Linked DNA regions of Ovis aries. The protein of the gene in region 1 interacts with the protein of each later gene in a pairwise test. Links are inferred from orthologs where the notes say so. Each region holds a gene or a part of one and is shown on either strand. Other genes may lie near its edges.

Evidence for each region.
Region 2: the proteins of CCDC136 (region 1) and SHFL interact in binary tests that used the Homo sapiens proteins (3 or more experiments, as listed by UniProt). The two-hybrid records come from large-scale screens. The link is inferred for Ovis aries from reciprocal best matches to the Homo sapiens genes CCDC136 and SHFL.

Annotation. Positions count from the first base shown.
Region 1 is NC_056057.1:94,471,105-94,479,755, forward strand, and holds part of CCDC136 (coiled-coil domain-containing protein 136), read left to right. Parts: intron 1-996; coding exon 997-1,108; intron 1,109-1,698; coding exon 1,699-1,867; intron 1,868-2,116; coding exon 2,117-2,257; intron 2,258-2,593; coding exon 2,594-2,749; intron 2,750-3,030; coding exon 3,031-3,201; intron 3,202-3,677; coding exon 3,678-3,863; intron 3,864-5,390; coding exon 5,391-5,585; intron 5,586-6,029; coding exon 6,030-6,257; intron 6,258-7,667; coding exon 7,668-8,177; intron 8,178-8,554; coding exon 8,555-8,651. UniProt on the Homo sapiens protein: May play a role in acrosome formation in spermatogenesis and in fertilization.
Region 2 is NC_056058.1:12,500,687-12,509,917, forward strand, and holds SHFL (shiftless antiviral inhibitor of ribosomal frameshifting protein), read left to right. Parts: upstream 1-4,319; 5' UTR 4,320-4,407; coding exon 4,408-4,428; intron 4,429-4,886; coding exon 4,887-5,010; intron 5,011-5,201; coding exon 5,202-5,251; intron 5,252-6,621; coding exon 6,622-6,660; intron 6,661-6,802; coding exon 6,803-6,952; intron 6,953-7,384; coding exon 7,385-7,488; intron 7,489-7,629; coding exon 7,630-7,784; intron 7,785-8,241; coding exon of another isoform or gene 8,242-8,327; coding exon 8,328-8,554; 3' UTR 8,555-8,631; downstream 8,632-9,231. Other genes in the region: ANGPTL6 (angiopoietin-related protein 6), read right to left, coding at 8,849-9,039.

The DNA.
Region 1 (8,651 bases):
CAAGGCGGGAATCATCCGGTCTAATGCTTAGCACATGGTTAGCTTTTATTAAAGATGAGTTTCCTTCCTTCCTTCTACGGTAAACTGGAGTATGCTGAAGACTTTTGATTGGACTAAAGAAGGAATACTAAAAGTGAATGTCGGGGTGTTGACTCTTACAGCGGGAAAGATAGGCCTTGGGCTCTAATTGGAGCAAGTTAGTGTTCTTTAAACATCAGCAGAATTAGTATTCTGAGAGAATTAATTCTTAATCATGAAAAAGCAGATATGTGTGTTTCTATTTTCACATCATGAAAGAGTATTGGTATATGGAACTTAGGATTTGTGCTGGGGCATTTTAACCAGATCTCTGCTGACGCTTGTGGATGTATGATTTGTGGGTTCGGTTGTGGTGGGCTTTTTCGTCAGCAGATAAAAAAGATCATTAGAAAGAATTCTTGACCATGTGCAGGCCGATGGATTGGGTACGATGATAAAGGAAGTAAAAGGACAACAAGAAATGCAAGGATGCCTGGGTTGTCTCTGAAAGCCGAGGACTGGCAGTTCACACTCTCAGCTTTTTGTACTAAAAGTGTAAGGACCCTAACCATAAACAGTTGAATGGGAGCTTTAAATACAATAAACCAAAAACCCTCACAATTAATTAAACCCTCAAAAGCTGAAAATCTGAAGACACTGTCTTGGTTGGTTTTGCTTATTTCCCCTGCCACCTCCACCCCCCAACCCCAGCCCTCTTGGTTGAAGTTTTGAAGATGGACACCCAGGGCCAGTCTTCTGGGAATTTGAAAAGATGGGCAGCACACTGAGAGGACAAAGACCCATTGCAACTTGAAACTTTCCGGGCCCCATCTTCTAAACCTCTGCATGGGGTATCTCATCTGTCTCTAGAAAAAGAAACTTCAGTTTTCCACAGCCAGATTTCTAGGCTGGAAAACTGGGGGCTGGTCATCTGTGCTTCCTCCCTGGGGGTCTCACCTCTCTGCCTGTCCTCTGCAGAAGAGTTGCAGCAACTGCGGGAACGCTACCACTTCCTGAACGAGGAGTACCGGGCCCTGCAGGAGAGCAACAGCAGCCTCACAGGGCAGCTTGCAGATCTGGAGAGTGAGAGGTACAGCCCACAGGCTCACAGGGCTCTTTAGGACAGGGCTATTCCCTGAGTAGGACCGGAGAAGGCAGATGTCAGGCTCCCCTGCCTTCCTCCACTGTGGGAGAGCTGGTCCTTCCCATGGTATCTGAAGGGTTTGAATACTGCTGAGAAGCAGGTATGGGGATCCAACCAGATGTCTCAGGACTAGAGCTGGGCAAGTTCTGAAATTTCATTTTCTTCCACTCCAGGCAGTTAGGTCTGGTTGGCTCTGCTCTGGAGCAGAGGAGAAGCAATTCCTTTGTTGTCCTCCCAGACTTGATCCAGTCAAAGGACGCATTGCCTCCAAACTGGAGCTGGTTTGACTCCAGTCCCAGCCTGGAGCCTGACTGGACTAGTACCCTTAGGGTCTCCCAGAACCAGACATGCCTTTGCAGGTTGAGATGCTGGGGACTTTTTCTGTCATCCTTCAAGTGTATTTGAGAGGTAAATCACAAGAGAAGTCTCCTTAACTGTCTTTTGCCTAAAATGAAGGCATCAGGACCAGGCATACTTCGCAGGTGGTGCTGGGCAGAGCATTCTCCCAAACGTGGCTCTGGGGTTCTGAATTACAGGACACGAAGAGCAACAGAAAGATGGCTGGAGTCCCAAACGCTACGGACTATGAGGTCAGCAGAGTCTCAGACCTCAGAAGAGGATTTCCTGGAGCCCGATCCTGGAATGCATTTGTTGCGGCAGCAGCTACTGGGAGCCAAGGAGCAGATGCATGACATGCAGAGCAAGGTAGGGAAAGGCCAGCTCCTTCACTGCCTCTCTCTTACCTTCTCCTGGCCTGTGTCAGCAGCATCTCCTTAGACACAAGGCTAACCAGGGAGACAGGTGCTATGGCAAGAGATCAGACTCTGGGGTCTCACTTGTGTGCCTTTCATGGAATGTTCCAGTAAAAGGACTGCCATACTCTGCCTAGGTCCATTCCTGGAGTGCATATGGTCCCTGTAGTAATTCAGGCTTCCTGTTCCATTTCCCACACAGTGTAAGAAATTGACTTGTGAGTTGCAAGAGCTACATCACCATCGCCGGACCAGTGAGGAGGAGCAGAAGCGGCTGCAGAGGGAGCTAAAGTGTGCACAGAATGAGGTGCTTCGGTTTCAGACGTCCCACAGCGTCACCCAGGTAAACACGGATAGGGCCGGGCACCAGGGGAGGGCAGAAGGGCCTGATTGGAGTTGCCACTTCCAGGGAGGATGAAGGCAGAGGCGGGCTGCGCTCTACTGATTCTTGGCCTGCAGCCAGGGATATGGTCAACTGGAGAGCAAGTGGAGAAGTCACACAGCATTGCATTCTAGAATGGTAGTCATGATGGAGCGTCCGCTGCAGAGAAGAAACTAAACCCTAATGCCCAGGGGAGCTCCTCAAAATGTCCGCTCGGCAAAAAGAACCACTCTGGTGTGGAGAGGGGTCTGCTGATTTCTGAGAGTAACCACTCTTCCCACATCCTCCCCACCACAGAACGAGGAGCTGAAGACCAGACTCTGTGCCCTGCAGCAAAAGTACGATGCTAGCCAGGATGAGCAGAGTGAGCTCTTGAAGGTGCAGCTACAACTTCAGGCTGAGCTCCGGCAGCTCAAAGTCATGAAAAGCACAGTAGAAAGCCAGAGTGAGAAGGTAACAGCAACCCAAGATGAGGGGCTGCTTAGGTGCCAGGAGGTTTGGGCAGGGTGGGGAGAAAAGTAGAGCATTGAAATAGCTCCAGCTGCTACCTATATGGCACCGCAGGTCCAGGACTCCAGCTGCCCTCAAGTCCCCCATTGGACCAGAGGGCAGCCTGTAAGCGCAGGGCAGGGACCAGTGGATTCTCAGACTGTCTATGTCTGAGGGCGACTCCAGCAGAAGAGTGAGTGGGTGGAGGACTGCAGAGGCACTGCCCCAGGCCCCCTCCACTGCAGGAGCTACAGTGCCAGCTACAGAAGCTGCAGCTGCAGTGCCACAGCATCTCATGTGAGAAGAACAAGCTGCTGGACGTGCAGCAGCACCTGCGGGACACTCTGCGCTGCCACGAGGCTGAGGTGCAGCACCTCAGGGGTGTTGTGACCACCTACCAGGAGAGCAGCGAGAAGGTAAAACAGGCTTCAGGCGAGGGAGAAGGTAGCCCGGCAGACCCTCCCGTGAGAGGCTGGGTCCGCAGGAGAAAGGAATGGTAGTTCTGTGGAGGAGCTGTTGGTGAGGAGACTTTCTACCCTACTATTAGAACCATAATCACATCCTGTCATTCATGAAGAACATATATGTAGGTCCATATGCGCAACTATGACTGTGCTCAGTGGAAAGGTGACCTCAGAGGGTCACAACATGCTCGGCTTCCTGTGATGTCAAGTCCGAAAGGACTGTAGAAAGGAGGCCCTTTCCCTTCCCTGCCTCCCCAGAGAGGAAGCCCCCAGTGTCTGTGGAGAGCCTGTTAGGGATTGGTCCATCTCAGGGAGTCCCACCCCAGACCTGGAAAGGACAGGGTAAGACCCCTTAGCCCCTGCCTGAGAGGAGAGAGTGTGGCCATGTGGCTCTGGGGATAATGGCGGGGTGTGCCTCCCCACCCCAGAGTGCAGAGGTCCACGCCCAGCTGCAGGAGACGAAGCGGCTGTACCAGTGCAGCCAGGAAACGCTGGACCGGCAGAAGCACATGTATGACCAGCTGGAGCAGGACTTCCTACTCTGCCAGCAGGAGCTGCAGCAGCTCAGGAGCACCCAGTCCATCCTAGAGGACAAGGGGAAGTGTGCTAATAAGGTAATTGTAACTAAGACAGGTGAGGTCTCCTGAGCCTTGGAGAGAGGAAGTAGAGGGGCAAGAGATGAAGTCATGCAAACGAGAGGCTTGATGGACCTCCTGTCCCGTCACAGCTGAGTGTGGAAAGGCAGGGAACAGAGGCAGAACCCATGCTGTTAACATTAAGACTTTGACTTGACCTTCACTTTAAGCCTGAGCTACAGATTAGTAGAATCAATACATCTGGGTCCAGTCTGAACACCTGAAGATTTTACACATGACTCCATGAGAGTAGACTTTATACTTTATTATTAGAACTATAGTGATATCCTGTCATTTGTGGAGGAGAACATACATGTAGGCCCATATACACAACTATGACTGTTAGAACTAGAAAGAGAAGGTCCAGTTTTCTGAGGCAGATTGTAGGTGCTCTTGTCAGAAGGCATGGTTGGTGCCCTGAGCGCTGATTGGTTATTAGAAGAACCTAGGCTTTTCCAGGATTTATTCCATGACTTCAGAGTAGTTAAATTCTCAACTCGAATCTTACCCTTTTTAAATTGAGCAGAATACTTCTTACCTCACTTTGTTTTAGTGAAAAATCCTGATGATGAATAAGGCCTTCCTTCCTTCCTTTCCCTTTTCTCCATAGTGTGTAAAAGGCAAGTCATTATTGGTTAGCTTTATTGAGTACTTTCAGCTCCTGATCACTGACAGGAAATGGAAAAATGCCAACACATGATGCAAAATACTGCTTGAATACTCATTCGCTCCTGCTGCAGCATGCTGTGTCTCCAGGGGAAGGCCTTCCGAAGACACAGCGCTGGAGATGGTTTTTGGGCTGCCCTAGTAGTCCACCTGCCTTTCTACACCCAGGCTCACTTTCTCTCCTCCCGCCACACCGACTGCATTGAGAGGTCCAAGGGGTCCATATCCTGCTCATCACTTCCTCTACTAGGGGAGGGGACCATAGGAAGGGAGAAGGATGCTGGCACACAGAGCCGGTCTTTTCTCTAGTCCTAAAAGAGCATTGAGACTAGTCTAATATTAGAAGATTGGGTTTTTGGAATCATAGGATACTTTAGTCTTCTCAACCCCAGCTCAGCAATAGTTCATACTTCTCTAAAGATTCTTGAAGCTGATGATGAACACAAAAATGGGGGAAAATTAGGGTGAAAATACATCGTTATTGGTAAGGAACATAATCAGTTATAGAAACAACTGGAGAACTAGAATTCCCAGCACGGTGGGAAAATGGTCTTCACCAGAGGAAAGAAGCAGGAGGGAGGTAAGAAGGGAGGGGCATTGCCAACACTCTCTTGAAAACCACCCTCAGAGAGGACTAGTAGGCAAAATATCCAGCATGGCCAAACTTCAGCCCTGAGCGGCCTGCTGGGGTTCCCGTTCAGCATCTAGGCCTCTAGAGGGCACAGTGGAGCTTGGGGTGATTAGTCTAAGGTGACCACAGGGCAGGAGACTCTGGTGAATCACAGGACAGAACACAGGCGTGGTCCGCTGACCGCCCTGTGTGCCCTGCCCCGTCCACAGTGTGACGCGCTGCTCTTCAGACTGACAGAATTGCAGGAGAGTTACAAGGCCAGCCAGAAGGAGATGGCGCAGATGCAGATGGAGCAGTGCGAGCTCCTGGAGGAACAGAGGAGGATGCAGGAGGAGCAGGGCCAGCTACAAGAAGAGCTGCACAGGCTCACGTTCCCGCTCCCCAAGTCTGGTCTCTTCCACAAGGTAATGGCGGCCAGGGCGGCCGTCAGCTGTGAGGCCCTTCCCGGATGTGAGCGACCTGAGGAGAAGTGAAAGGGAGCAAATGGAACTTTGTCTTAACTCCTCACTTTCTCGCCAGTCTCCTCTCACAAAACTGCTCACAATAGCCGATTAGGGCTTTAAATCTTGAAATACATCCTCAACTCTGGAATCTGTCCAACGTTTTAGACATTTAGTCCATCTGGAGAAAATGTCCTTGAAATCACTTTATAAAAAGCAAAAGACATCCACCCACAGGAGGTCTTTACTCCTCCACTAGCAGGTCTGTGTAGAAAGACTCCCCTCCTGTCCCAGGTGGGCTGAGCAAAGCCAACTCCTTTGAGGGAAGGGTCCCCAGAGGGAAGGAGGCAGAGGTCTTTCCGTGTAACCATCACAGTGCCGCCCACTTCCTTCCGCTCCACCTCACAGAGTCAGGAGCTCCTCACAAAGTTACAGGACCTGTGTGAAGTGCAGATGCTCTACCAAGGCATGCAGGAGGAGCAGAAGAAACTGATACAGAACCAAGAGAACATAGTAAAAGAACAGTTAGAACTGCAAGGAGCCCTGCACCATTTCAAGGAGTCCAGCTTCCGGGAAGTGTTGGAGAATCCCGAGGATCCCAAATGGCCTAAGTCCTCAAAGTGTGGTCACAACAAGGTAACCATAGCAAGAGGTAGGGAGACAGTTCTGGGGGTAGCAGCATGCTAGGGAAAGGGGCTCCATAGCAGGGTCTGAGTTCCGAAGGCCAGGAGCAGAGAGGAAGCTAAAGCCCACTCATGGGCTCCTTAGTTAGGGCTGGCCTGAGCTGCTCCTCTGGATGGATGCCCAGCTGAAGCACTGTGATGACCAGGAAGTCTGTGATCTCCTGATCCTTTGAACTCAGTCTCTTTAATACCTCATTTTCCAGATGTAGTTGGAGGTAGATCAACCTAGTGTTTGGGTTCTTTAGGACTGACTCTAAACATGTCTTTTCCTCATGAGCTGGTTGATAATTGAGATGTTCGCTTTCCAGTGATCCAAATCTGTAACCTTTTGGTGTTCTACATGAGGCATATCTGGGGCCATTTGTTTCCAAGACAGAAATTCCCAGCATATGGGGTTCTTGGTACTGACCTCACTGTCTTCATTGGATTGGAACTTTGCAGCAGTAACAGCCAGGTCAGAGGCATTAGACTAGAGAATCCATGTGTCTCAAGCACCAGTGAGTGGTCAGGCCTCTGAGGTCATACTGGTGGAAATTTCTAAACAAGTGTGTTCAGGATTGGGAGATGCATTTGGTCTGAGGCCTCAGTGTAGGCAAGGAAGAGCAGGAAGACAGTTTCCATTTAAGTGAGATTGATTTGTCCAGATATTAGCCTAGACAGGCAGAGGTGCATGGAGCAGCAGAAGTCCAAACTGTGCAATTTGGTTGATCAGGTTCCAGGGGCATCCGATTTCAGCCTGGATAACAGAGACCAGGAACCAGACCAGGAAATAGCAAATATTTCCTTAACAGATCAGATCTCATCCTGGGCATCAGCTGCCAAGGAGCCAGGCCCAGAGGGCCCAGGAAGCATGCCAGAAGCCAGATTTGGAATTGAGGCAGGAGAGGGACTCATAGTGAGACCCTGATTGGAAGTCTGCATCTTCCAAGGGAGGAGTTCTTTGTACGCTCATGTTCGTGGCCAGGGGTGATTTTAGAATTGGGGGTGGAGGAGGGGACTGAGCCCCATAGATCAGGATAATAGGTCCACCTGACTAAGAAGAGAGAAGGGAGGCTGAGTGACCTTGAGACCCACTCAGTGCTACTCCAGGGAGAGAGGAGGTTACCAGAGCATAGAAGCCAGGGGAAGTGAGAGCCCAGAAATTGCAGAGTGTCTGCCCTAGGAAATTTTCTCCAGTGAGTAAGAAATTGAATCATGCCAGGTACCTGCAGGCTAAGTGGAAGTCCTGGGCCACGGTGAGCTGGGAGGGCCAGGTGTGCCATTCCTTGACCTGGGATCTCAGACATCCTCACCAGGAGGGGTTCCGCTGGAAGGATCGCAGCGTCTGAAGTAACGCTGGTGTCTCCCCACCCACTCCCGCCAGTCCAAGATGATCATCGCCCAGATGCAGGCCCTGCAGGAGCTGTACGAGGCCAGTGAGACCGAGCAGGAGCTGCTCCAGCAGGAGCAGGAGCGGCTTCTGGAGGAGCGGAAGAGGCTGCAGGCCGACCTGCAGCTCTGTCTGGAAGAAATGCAGCTGCTCCAAGACCAGTCCCCTGCAATCAAGATGAGCCTGGACTCCTACAGGAAGAGTTACGCGAGCACGACCACCAGCAACGAGAACTGCCACAAGAGCTGCAACCTCAATGACGATGAGGGCTACCAGAAGAGCTACGGCAGCAGCCAGGCCAGTGAAGAGAGCCTCCTCAAGAGCTACGAAAGCAGCACAGATGCCAGCGAGTCCTGTCAGCGGAGCTACCTCAGCAGCAGCAGCAGCAGCTCCGACACCTATAAGAGGAGCTATGGCAGCAGCAGCAGCAGCTCCGTCACCTGTCACAAGAGTTACGTCAGCAGCAGCATGGACGACGAGCTGGCCGAGCCTGGAGATGTGGAGGTAAAGGCAGTCAGGTGTCCGGTCAGACAGGGGACAATGGTTCTTGTCTCATTAGGAGAGGCCACGGGGAAGGGCCCGAGAGGTGAAGTGGGCAGCGGGCTCAGAGCTGAGCTGGGTGACCGTCAGGAAATGAATGAGGTGCTCTCCCCACTTCCTATGGAGATGCAGTTCCATCTGGACGGAAGTCTAAGATTCTGGACTTTTCATCAACACAGTCATGTGCTCTTCATGGGAAGAAATCCAGTGTTCTCCCCCTGGGCAGCTTCAGATCCTATCGGCCAGTGTTTTGTACCCATGAGAAAAAAGGGCCCAGCGAAGAGAGCGGGTGGAGGGCAGGGGCTCCTCAGGGTGCCCTCCTCACTCCTCGCCCTCCACAGCACCTTGAGGACGTGGTCGCCAAGGTGCTGATCAAGCTGCAGGGTGTGCAGGCCATGTACCAGCTCAGCCAGGAAGAGCACAAGCTGCTGCAGCAGC
Region 2 (9,231 bases), on another chromosome or scaffold:
ACCATAAATATAAATAATTCCTTCTGCTATCATCTGCTTCTTGTTTCTCTTTCAGATTAAGACCATGACTCCAGAAGGATAGAAATGGTGCCCAGCACCATACCTGCCAGACAGGAGGTGTTTGATCCATGTCTGTCCAATAAATGAACGGATAGGTCAAATGGGTTCCGTCTTTGACTCAATTACTAAAATGTCAGAGGTTACACTTCTTATCACTGTTATCACCCCATCCATCCCCCCCCTCTTCACACCTTTCCCTAAAGGCAAAGAATAAAATGCATTCGTGTCCACATCATGGGACAAGAAAGCTATCTATATGTGTCCAGACAGACCAAGATGGTTACAGAGCTCAAACTAAACTTTGATGTAGGCAGCGCCTCCATGTGATCGCTGGGAATCTTTGTTTTTCTGTTCATCGTGTTTAGTCGCTAAGTCATGTCAGAGACTTTTGCGACCCTACGGACAGTTGCCCGCCAGGCTGCTCTGCCCATGGGATTTCCCAGGCACGAATACTGGAGTGGGGTGCCATTCGCTTCTCCAGGGCATCTTCCCAGCTCGGGGACCAAACTGTGTCTTCTGCACTGGCAGGCGGAAATTGCCAAGCCACCAGGGAAGCCCTCTGTTCACCTATAAATGCCCAAATTCAATACTCACAGGCTGTATCTCTGTCCCTCCAGAGTGACTCTCACCCTCTCCTCCTGCTCTGTGCCCTGACAGGCTGACTGCCTGACCGGCTCCCTTTCCTTCCTTGCCTTCTGGCGCTGGAAGCGAGAGACTCCAGTAGGAGATGGGGAGGGAGGAGGGGAGAGAGGGCAGGGTCTTTATCCTCCTCTTCCTAAACACAGGCTGGATCTGGCAACTCAATTTTACCACACAGGATGTGGCGGCTGAAGGGATGCTCTGGGACTTTCAAGGCTAGGTCACGAAACGATACAACTTCCACCTGGCTTTCCTTCTCTTGTGTTGCCTGCCCTGGCGCGGCCAGCTGCCAGGTTGGGCATATCAAACTCAAGTCAACCTAGGTAGTGCGGAACTGAGGCATCCCGCCAACAACCAGCACTCACCTGCCAGTCACGTGTGAGTGAGCCTCCTTGGAAACAAGAGCCTTCAGCCCCAGTCAAACCTTCAAAGGAACGCAGCCCCAGTCAACATGTCGACTACAATCTTATGGAGACCCTGAGCCAGAAAGCCTACTAAAGCCGTCCTTGGGTTCCTGACCCACAAAAATTGTGTGAGCTAATAAGTGTTTCTTGTTTTAAGTCGCTACGTGTGTGCGTACTGTCACTTCAGTCATGTCCATCTCTGTCACCCCATGTCAGCCCATGTCACCCCACATCACCCCATGTCAGTCCATGAGGATTCTCCAGGCAGGAATACTGGAGTGGGTTGCCATGCCCTCTTCCAGGGGATCTTCGTAACCCAGGGATCGAACCCACATCTCCTGCACTGGCAGGCAGGTTCTTTACCACTAGCGCCACCTGGGAAGCCCTTAAGCCATTACATTTGGGGAGATAATTTGTTACACAGCAACAGAGAACTACAACACCTGGTAAGAAGAGTCCCCAGTTACCATTCTTCCTGGAACCCTCTTCCTCTGCATCCTTCAGGTTTCCACTCAGATGTTACTTCTCACAGCCTTCCCTAAACCCTCTTTACCCATCCCCCTGTCGTAGTTTATTTTTCATCCTGGCACATATTATCTCCTGAAAGTTGTAAGAGTGTTAGTCACTCAGTTGTGTCTGACTACAACTCCACGGAGTGTAGCCCACCAGGCTCCTCTGTCCATGGGATTCTCCAGGCCAGAATACTGGAGTGGTAGCCATTCCCTTCTCCAGGGGATCTTCCTGACCCAGGGATCGAACCCAGGGATCGAACCCAGGTCTCCCGCATTGCGGGCAGATTCTTTACTGTCTGAGCCACCAGGGAAACTGCCTACCCATCACATATTTGTTTCTTCTATCTCCCCCACTAGAATGCTAGCTCTGTAGGGCAGGGATCTTTGTTTTCTGTGATGCTGTGTCCATGGTGCATGGAACAGTGCCTGGCACAGAGCAAGCTCTCACTATGGTGATCATTAGGATGAGAAGCTAACAGACATGAATTGTGTTGGGGCTTGATCAGATTCCCACCTGTTCCCTGCCTGTTCTGTGCTCACCGTGACCAGGGATGGGACATAGCTGTGACCTCCCCCTCCACTGGGTAAGTAGTAGTTGGGAACTATAAGGAGAGAGCCCCTCCATGCCTCCCCGCTTCTCTGGGATAAAATCCTAGGTCCTCTCAGCAGTCTTCAACCTTTTCTGCACCAGAAACCATTTTCCTGGAAGACAGTTTTTCCACAGACGGCGTGGGGGGTGGGGGGATGGTTTCGGGATGATTCGAGTGCATTACATTTAGTGTGCGATCTATTTCGATTATTATTGCATCAGCTCCACCTCAAATCATCAGGCATCAGATCCCAGAGGTTAGGGACCACTGCTCTGTGACGCCTACAGCCCCTCATTCCTGCCTGAAACCCCACCACTCAGCCACAAAGAACCATGAACTGTTTACACTCGTTAATAGAGTAGGCTCCAGGGAGGAATGCCTAGACTCCACAAACAAAACTTTGGAGTTCGAGTAGAAAACATTAGAACATTTATATTTTTAATCATTGGGGATCTTCCCCACCCAGGAATTGAACCCCCGTCTCTGGAGTCTCCTGCATTGGCAGGCAAATTCTTTACTACTAGCGCCACCTGGGAAGCCCAACGAATATCATTATGTAACAAATACATTATTATAAAATGATCTACAGAATCTGATCTTTCTCTAGTAGCTCAGTTGGGAAAGAATCTGCCCGCAGTGCAGGAGACCTGGGTTCGATTTCTGGGTCGGGAAGATCCCATGGAGAAGGAAATGGCAACCCACTCCAGTATTCTTGCCTGGAAAATCTCATGGACAGAGGAGCCTGGCAGTCCATGGGGTCGCAAGAGTCGGACACGAATTAGCGACTAAACCACCACCACAGAATCTGAGTATTTGTATATAATTCATACTGTATTTGTATATAATTCATAAACAAACACTCTTCGAGGAATTGAGCTTCCACATCTTTACTGATGGAGGTTAAACAATTTGAGGGGTGTCATTTATCCTAACACAATTTTGCCACCCCCAGGGAACATTTGGCAACGTCTGGAGACATTTTCAGTTACCACGACTGGGGCAAGAGTGCCACAGGCATCTAGCGGATTGAAGCCAGGGATGCTGCTAAATATCCTACAATGCACAGGGCAGGCCTCCAGAATCACCCAGCCCTAAATGCCAATAGCGTTGAGGTTGAGAAGCCCTGGCTTAAAGCGCTAGTCACTTTTTTCTGGGGTCTTTGCACCCAAAGCTGTTCCATCCCGCACTCCGATCTTCTGACTGCTGAGACCTCGGTCTTCCGGACTCCTCCAAGAAGCCATTTTTTTCTTTTTTTAAAGAAACCATTTCTGATGCCGCCAGGCAGGGCTCTTCCAGCCCCCTCGCCCACCCCCCACCCCCCATGCTGGGTTAAAATCGTCCTGATCCCTCGGGGTTCTCAATCTTCCGTTTTTCAGCGCAAATTCCCTGGAACCCCTAGACAGACCGATTCTGCAAGACTGTGAGGAACCAGGAATCCGTATTTTTAACGAGCATCTTCTCCCCACCACAACTGCCTGCTTCTTAATATCTTGCACATAGTAGGTGGCCCAGTGACTAGTTGAATGTCTACAGCATGGCAGGCGCTACTAAATACTCGACCTGGGGATCTCGAATCCTGCACCTGCGCGCGCGCGCGCACAGGCATGAGCGCGCGCGAGCACACACACCCGTCCCCAGGATGTAGCCACTATCATCATCCCCACTTTACAGCGAAGTAAACTGAGGTTCAGAGAGAAGACATAGCCGGATAAGACACTCAGAGCGAGACAGGGGTCTAGATCCTCATTAGCGCCTGATTCCGGGTGGAGGGAGGGGACCGAGCGATGAACAGGGGAGCGCGAACAGGCGGGGGCACGGAGACTCGCCGCGGCCTTCAGATGCGGCCCCGCCCCCACGAGGGACGTGAAGACGCGGACCCCGCGCAGCGTGGGGACATGTGACCGACTGCAGAGGCCGCGCCGCTTCCCCCGCCCGAGTTCTGCGCGCTCCGCCGCAGGGTGCAGATCCGGGGCGCCCGCCTGGGTTTGGGGCGCAAGAGCAGAGGCGGAGCCAGGGCGGAGCCAGCCCTCCCCGTCCACCCCCCCGTTCCCAAACGAAAGCGAAACGGAGCGCAGGAAAGGAAGGGCGGAGCCGGCCTGGAGGCCCCGCCCCCTGCCCTGCGCGGCCGGACCGACGGGCGCGCCCAGGTAGGGGGCCGCCGAGCGCGCAGTGCGGACCCTCGCGGGGACCTACGCCGCCACCATGTCTCAAGAAGGTGTGGAGGTAGGAGATGGCTACAACTGGGCCGGTGGCCCGCGAGAGATGCTGAGGAGGAGCTAGGGGCACGGAGCGGGCTTCGCAGTTGCTGGGGACTCCATCCAAGCCCAGACCTTCCCCCCAAGGCTGGCACTCGTCTCCCTCGGAAAGGAGAGTGACCGCCACATGCCCCGGAGCAAAATGCGGCCTCCTCGAGGGAAAGCGGGGGCTGCTGGGTCAAGGGTCAGAGGCCAGGGGTCATCTGGCCGGCCTCATCCCTTAGCCTGGGACGCTCGCCCTAGTCCGCTCCCTCCCCCAGTACTCTGTGGGGACTTTGGCTTTTTCCAGGAAATGCAGTAGAGGGATGGGGGGGGGGGGTGCGAAGGCCAAAACCCGGGGTCAAGTTCGGGCCGTGAAAAAAGGAAGCCTAGGGATGGAGGAAGGGCAATTGCGCTTTTCCTTCCCCCACCGGTCCCCTACCCCAGCTGGAGAAAAGCGTCCGGCGCCTCCGGGAGAAGTTTCATGGAAAGGTATCCTCCAAGAAGGCAGGGACTCTGATGAGGAAATTTGGCAGCGACCACACTGGAGTGGGGCGCTCCATCGTGTATGGTGAGCAGGTGGGGGTCCTGCCTGGTGAGAGTTAAGCTGGGGAGCAGGGAGGGGGTGTGGTCTGTGCTGGGGGCTGGAAGAGGCGATGAGATCATCTCTTTGGGGGGCGGTCTGGATCGGGGTTCTGGGGGCCCTGAAATTCCCACAAAACCTTTCAAGGGGCCTTCACTTACACTTACTCTCCCCACCAGGGGTAAAGCAGAAGGATGGACAGGAACTGAGTAATGATCTGGACACCCAGGTAAACTGCCCCCTCCCCTCAAAACACGTGGTAAGGGAAGGAAGAAGGGAAGGGTCAGGCTCATCCCTGGCAGAGCTCTTTCTGTGCACTGTCCATCCACAACTCATGGTCTAGCCTCATTCACTTACCTCTCAGTTATGGATCTGACCAAGGAGCCTGCAAACCATAGGTGCTCATTACATGCTGATTGTATGAAATGGAGAGAGACAAGAAACTAGGCAGTGAAAAGAATCCGGATTATCATCATTACAGAGGAGCCAAAGAGGTCAGGGAAGGCTTCCTGGAGGAGGTGGTACCACATTCTTCAAGCCTAGGGAGGAGTGATCCCTGGGAAGGGGAGGGGTTGGAGATCTTCCTGGAAGAGAGGGTGACCTGAGCAGAGGAACTTGCAGACAGGTTGGGACGAGTAAGAGATAGGGGAGGAAAGAGGGGCAGGGAAGCCCATGTAAATGAATGACTAAAGCAATGAATGAATGAGAGCCTTTGTATGGCCACTTTGCCCCTTAGATGGCCTTGGTAGCTGGTGCACTGGTTTGCCTGTCTGAAAGGGCCCAGCACAGAGCTGTTAAAGAGTATAATAAAGTATGTTTTATACTTGTAACATTTATATATTTACAGTTATACATATAATGAGTATAATAAAACTAGCAAAGAGTATCATTGATTGAGCACTTTCCCTGCAACAGGACTCCAGGAATTCTGTTGACTTATTGCCACAGGTCCTGTGAGACAAGTCCTATTATTTATCATATCCACTTGACAGATGAGGAAACTGAGACACAGGGTGATGAAGTCACTCACCAGGCTCATGCTGAATGCAGGTGGTGACTGGGATTTGAACCCAGGTCACCTAGAGTCAGAACCTGGACTCCTAGATGTCCTTCATTAGGGAGAGTGGCTTGGCCACGACCCCACAGCTGGAAGTGATGAGGCCAGGATTCCAACCTGTGGCTCTCTGAATCCAGAGCTCAAGCACTTAGCCTAAAGCAGCATAGCCTCAAACAGGTGACCTGTCACAATGCCAGCAAGTGTGTGGCATTTGCCAGCATGAAGGGAGCATGGGGCCCAGGCCTGTTGCCCACACTCACTCAGGGTAATCTCAGGCAAGCCCTCTCAGAGCTCTGGGCCTCAGTTTCCCCATCTGAGCAATGAGGATCACAGGTGTGCCCACCTCTCAGGGTTGCTATGAGGACAACTGAGGTCACACACCCTTGCCCTCAGGAAGTGGAAACTGCTCAATTAACTCCTCTTGAGTTGGGGACACCTTACTCATATGGGGCCAGAACCCTGCCTCCCCATCCAGAAGCCCTGCCCCCAGAAAAGAGGCATGAGCCACCTCCCCAGTTTCTACCCCTGATGTTTCCACCCAGGACCCCCCAGAGGACATGAAGCAGGACCAGGACATCCAGGTGAGTCCAGGGTGTGGGATGGGGAGGTGGAGCGGTGTGCACACCCCTGGGGGTATCCATACGTGAGAAGGAGGGACAGGATAGGGGTTTGGAAGAGAAGAGGACTGACCGCCCTCTTGGCCCCGCCCACCCCATTCTGCAGGCGGTGGCGACATCCCTCCTGCCACTGACAGAAGACAATCTACGCATGTTCCAGCGTGCCCAGGAAGACCTCATCCCTGCCGTGGACCGGCAGTTCGCCTGCTCCTCCTGTGACCATGTCTGGTGGCGCCGCGTGCCCCAGCGGAAAGAGGTGATAACCCAATCCCTGACCTTGGTTCTGTCCCGGCTCTGCTCCCAACCCCCATTCTGTGTCCAAACCAACTGACCTAAGAACATCAGCCTCTGAGACCCCAACCCCGGACACCTGCAGCCTCAGAGATCAACCCCAATCTCAGCCCCAACGCTGACCTACTGAGCTGGACTTTCAACATTCAACTGGAGAAGCTCAACTTACCCTTGAACTCTTGACTATGGCGTTTGACCACTACCACAGAAATCAAGCCTGAACCCCAAATCTGGCTTCTGAACCCCCTGACCAGTGGTGTGCTTCTGATAAACGCCTACCAACCAGGAACGAAGTGCCCCCAGATTTACAGTGTTCGCCAATTTCGATGGTGTAAATCCCAACGTGACCACCATCAGGCTATCGGTGCCCATCTGCTCCGCTCTTCTGTACCCCCAGGTGTCCAGATGCAGGAAATGCCGGAAGCGCTATGATCCCGTGCCCAGTGACAAGATGTGGGGCGTGGCTGAATTCCACTGCCCGAAATGTCGACACAACTTCCGGTGAGGGCACAACTTCCCGAGAGGGTGCTGACCCCACCCCCTCACCCTCGGCCCCGCCCCAGCCCCGCCCCGCCCCTCCCTGCCCTGGCCCCATCCTGGCCCAGCTGGCCTTTGGACCCTCACGGCCCTGCCCGCCCCCAGGGGCTGGGCACAGATGGGGTCCCGGTCCCCCTGCTACGGGTGCGGCTTCCCTGTGTATCCGACACGGATCCTCCCTCCGCGCTGGGATCGCGACCCGGATCGCCGCAGTACCCACACCCACTCCTGCTCCGCTGAGGACTGCTACAATCGGAGAGGTGAGCGCCTGCTGCGTCCGCATGGCCTCCCCCTGTTCCAGTCTATGTGGCCTGGACTCCTGGGATTTCCACCTCTGGGGCTTTACCTACCAAGGTGTCTGCTTGCTTCTTGCACCTAACTCCTTAGGTCCTAGTTCTAGAGGCCATTTCATCTCTTACCACATCGGCCCCTCCTTCCACATCTTCCACCGTCCTCCACCTCCTTGCCTCCAGGTCTCTCCTGGAGGGGGGGTCCCTCCTCACACTCACCTCCCGTGGCATCAGCCACCCTCCATGTTCTCACCCATGAGGCTTTGTGGTTTCACCCTGACAACCCACATCCCAGGGTCCTGTGGACTCAGCCCCTGCAGTCTCTCTGTGTTCTTGGCTCCTGTGTGGTCCTCTGTAGTCTCAGGTGATGCCCATGACCGTGGGTCTCCTGTGGCTTCAACGTCTGTGACTTCCACTTCTGCCCTAGAGCCTGTGGCCGCAGCCCCTCCCCTCCCCCAAAGCACCCCGTGGCCTCCAGCCCCAGGAGAGGGCTCAGAACCTCTCCCTCCCCAGAGCCCCATGTGCCTGGGACGTCCTGTGCGCACCCCAAGAGCCGAAAGCAGAACCACCTGCCCAAAGTCCTGCACCCCAGCAACCTCCACATCAGCAGTGGCTCCACTGTGGCTACCTGCCTGAGCCAGGGGGGCCTCCTGGAAGACCTGGACAACCTCATTCTGGAGGACCTGAAGGAGGAGGAGGAAGAGGAGGAGGACGAGGAGGAGGGCGGGCACGGGGAGTGACCCCTGCCAGATGCAGATGAAAACCAGACACGGTCTGTGGCTATTTTGTGTTGTTATAAAATATGAGCTCAAACTGAGATCTCAATGCCCTTGGGGAGCCGTCTGGGTCCAGGATATTGGCAGGGGGATTCCTGGGCACTGTCTACAAAGCCCTGGGGAAGCCCTGCAGATCCACAATGGGAGGAGGTCTGTGGGGCATGGTCTGCATGGAGCCACAAAGGAGGGGTGGCCAGGACAACTTGGGCTCCTGCTGACACACATCCCCTGGGACCTGAGGGACAGATGGACAGAGGGTCACAGCCTCAGGGGCCTAATCAGCATGGCAGCCTTCTTGAGAGAGTAAGCCCCACCACGAAACTCGGCCCAGTAGACCCCATCCTGGTAGCGGCTACGGTAGTGGCCACCACGATGCCACACACCATTGAGGTTGGAGTGGGCACAGGCATGGTACCACCAGCCTCCCCGCTGGTACAGGGCACAGTTACCTGAGGGGAGAGGGGGAAAAAAGCCTTATTTTATTCTTCTCACCAGAATAAAAGCCTCTACCAGCACCTCACTAACACAAGGCTTTTGCCAGGCATACTCTGTCCCCCTACTTCAAAGTAATAGCCTTAGTTTCTTCCTTATCCCCTTACCAAAGTACAAGTCACATTTTCCTCCGTCCTTTCTGCAAACAA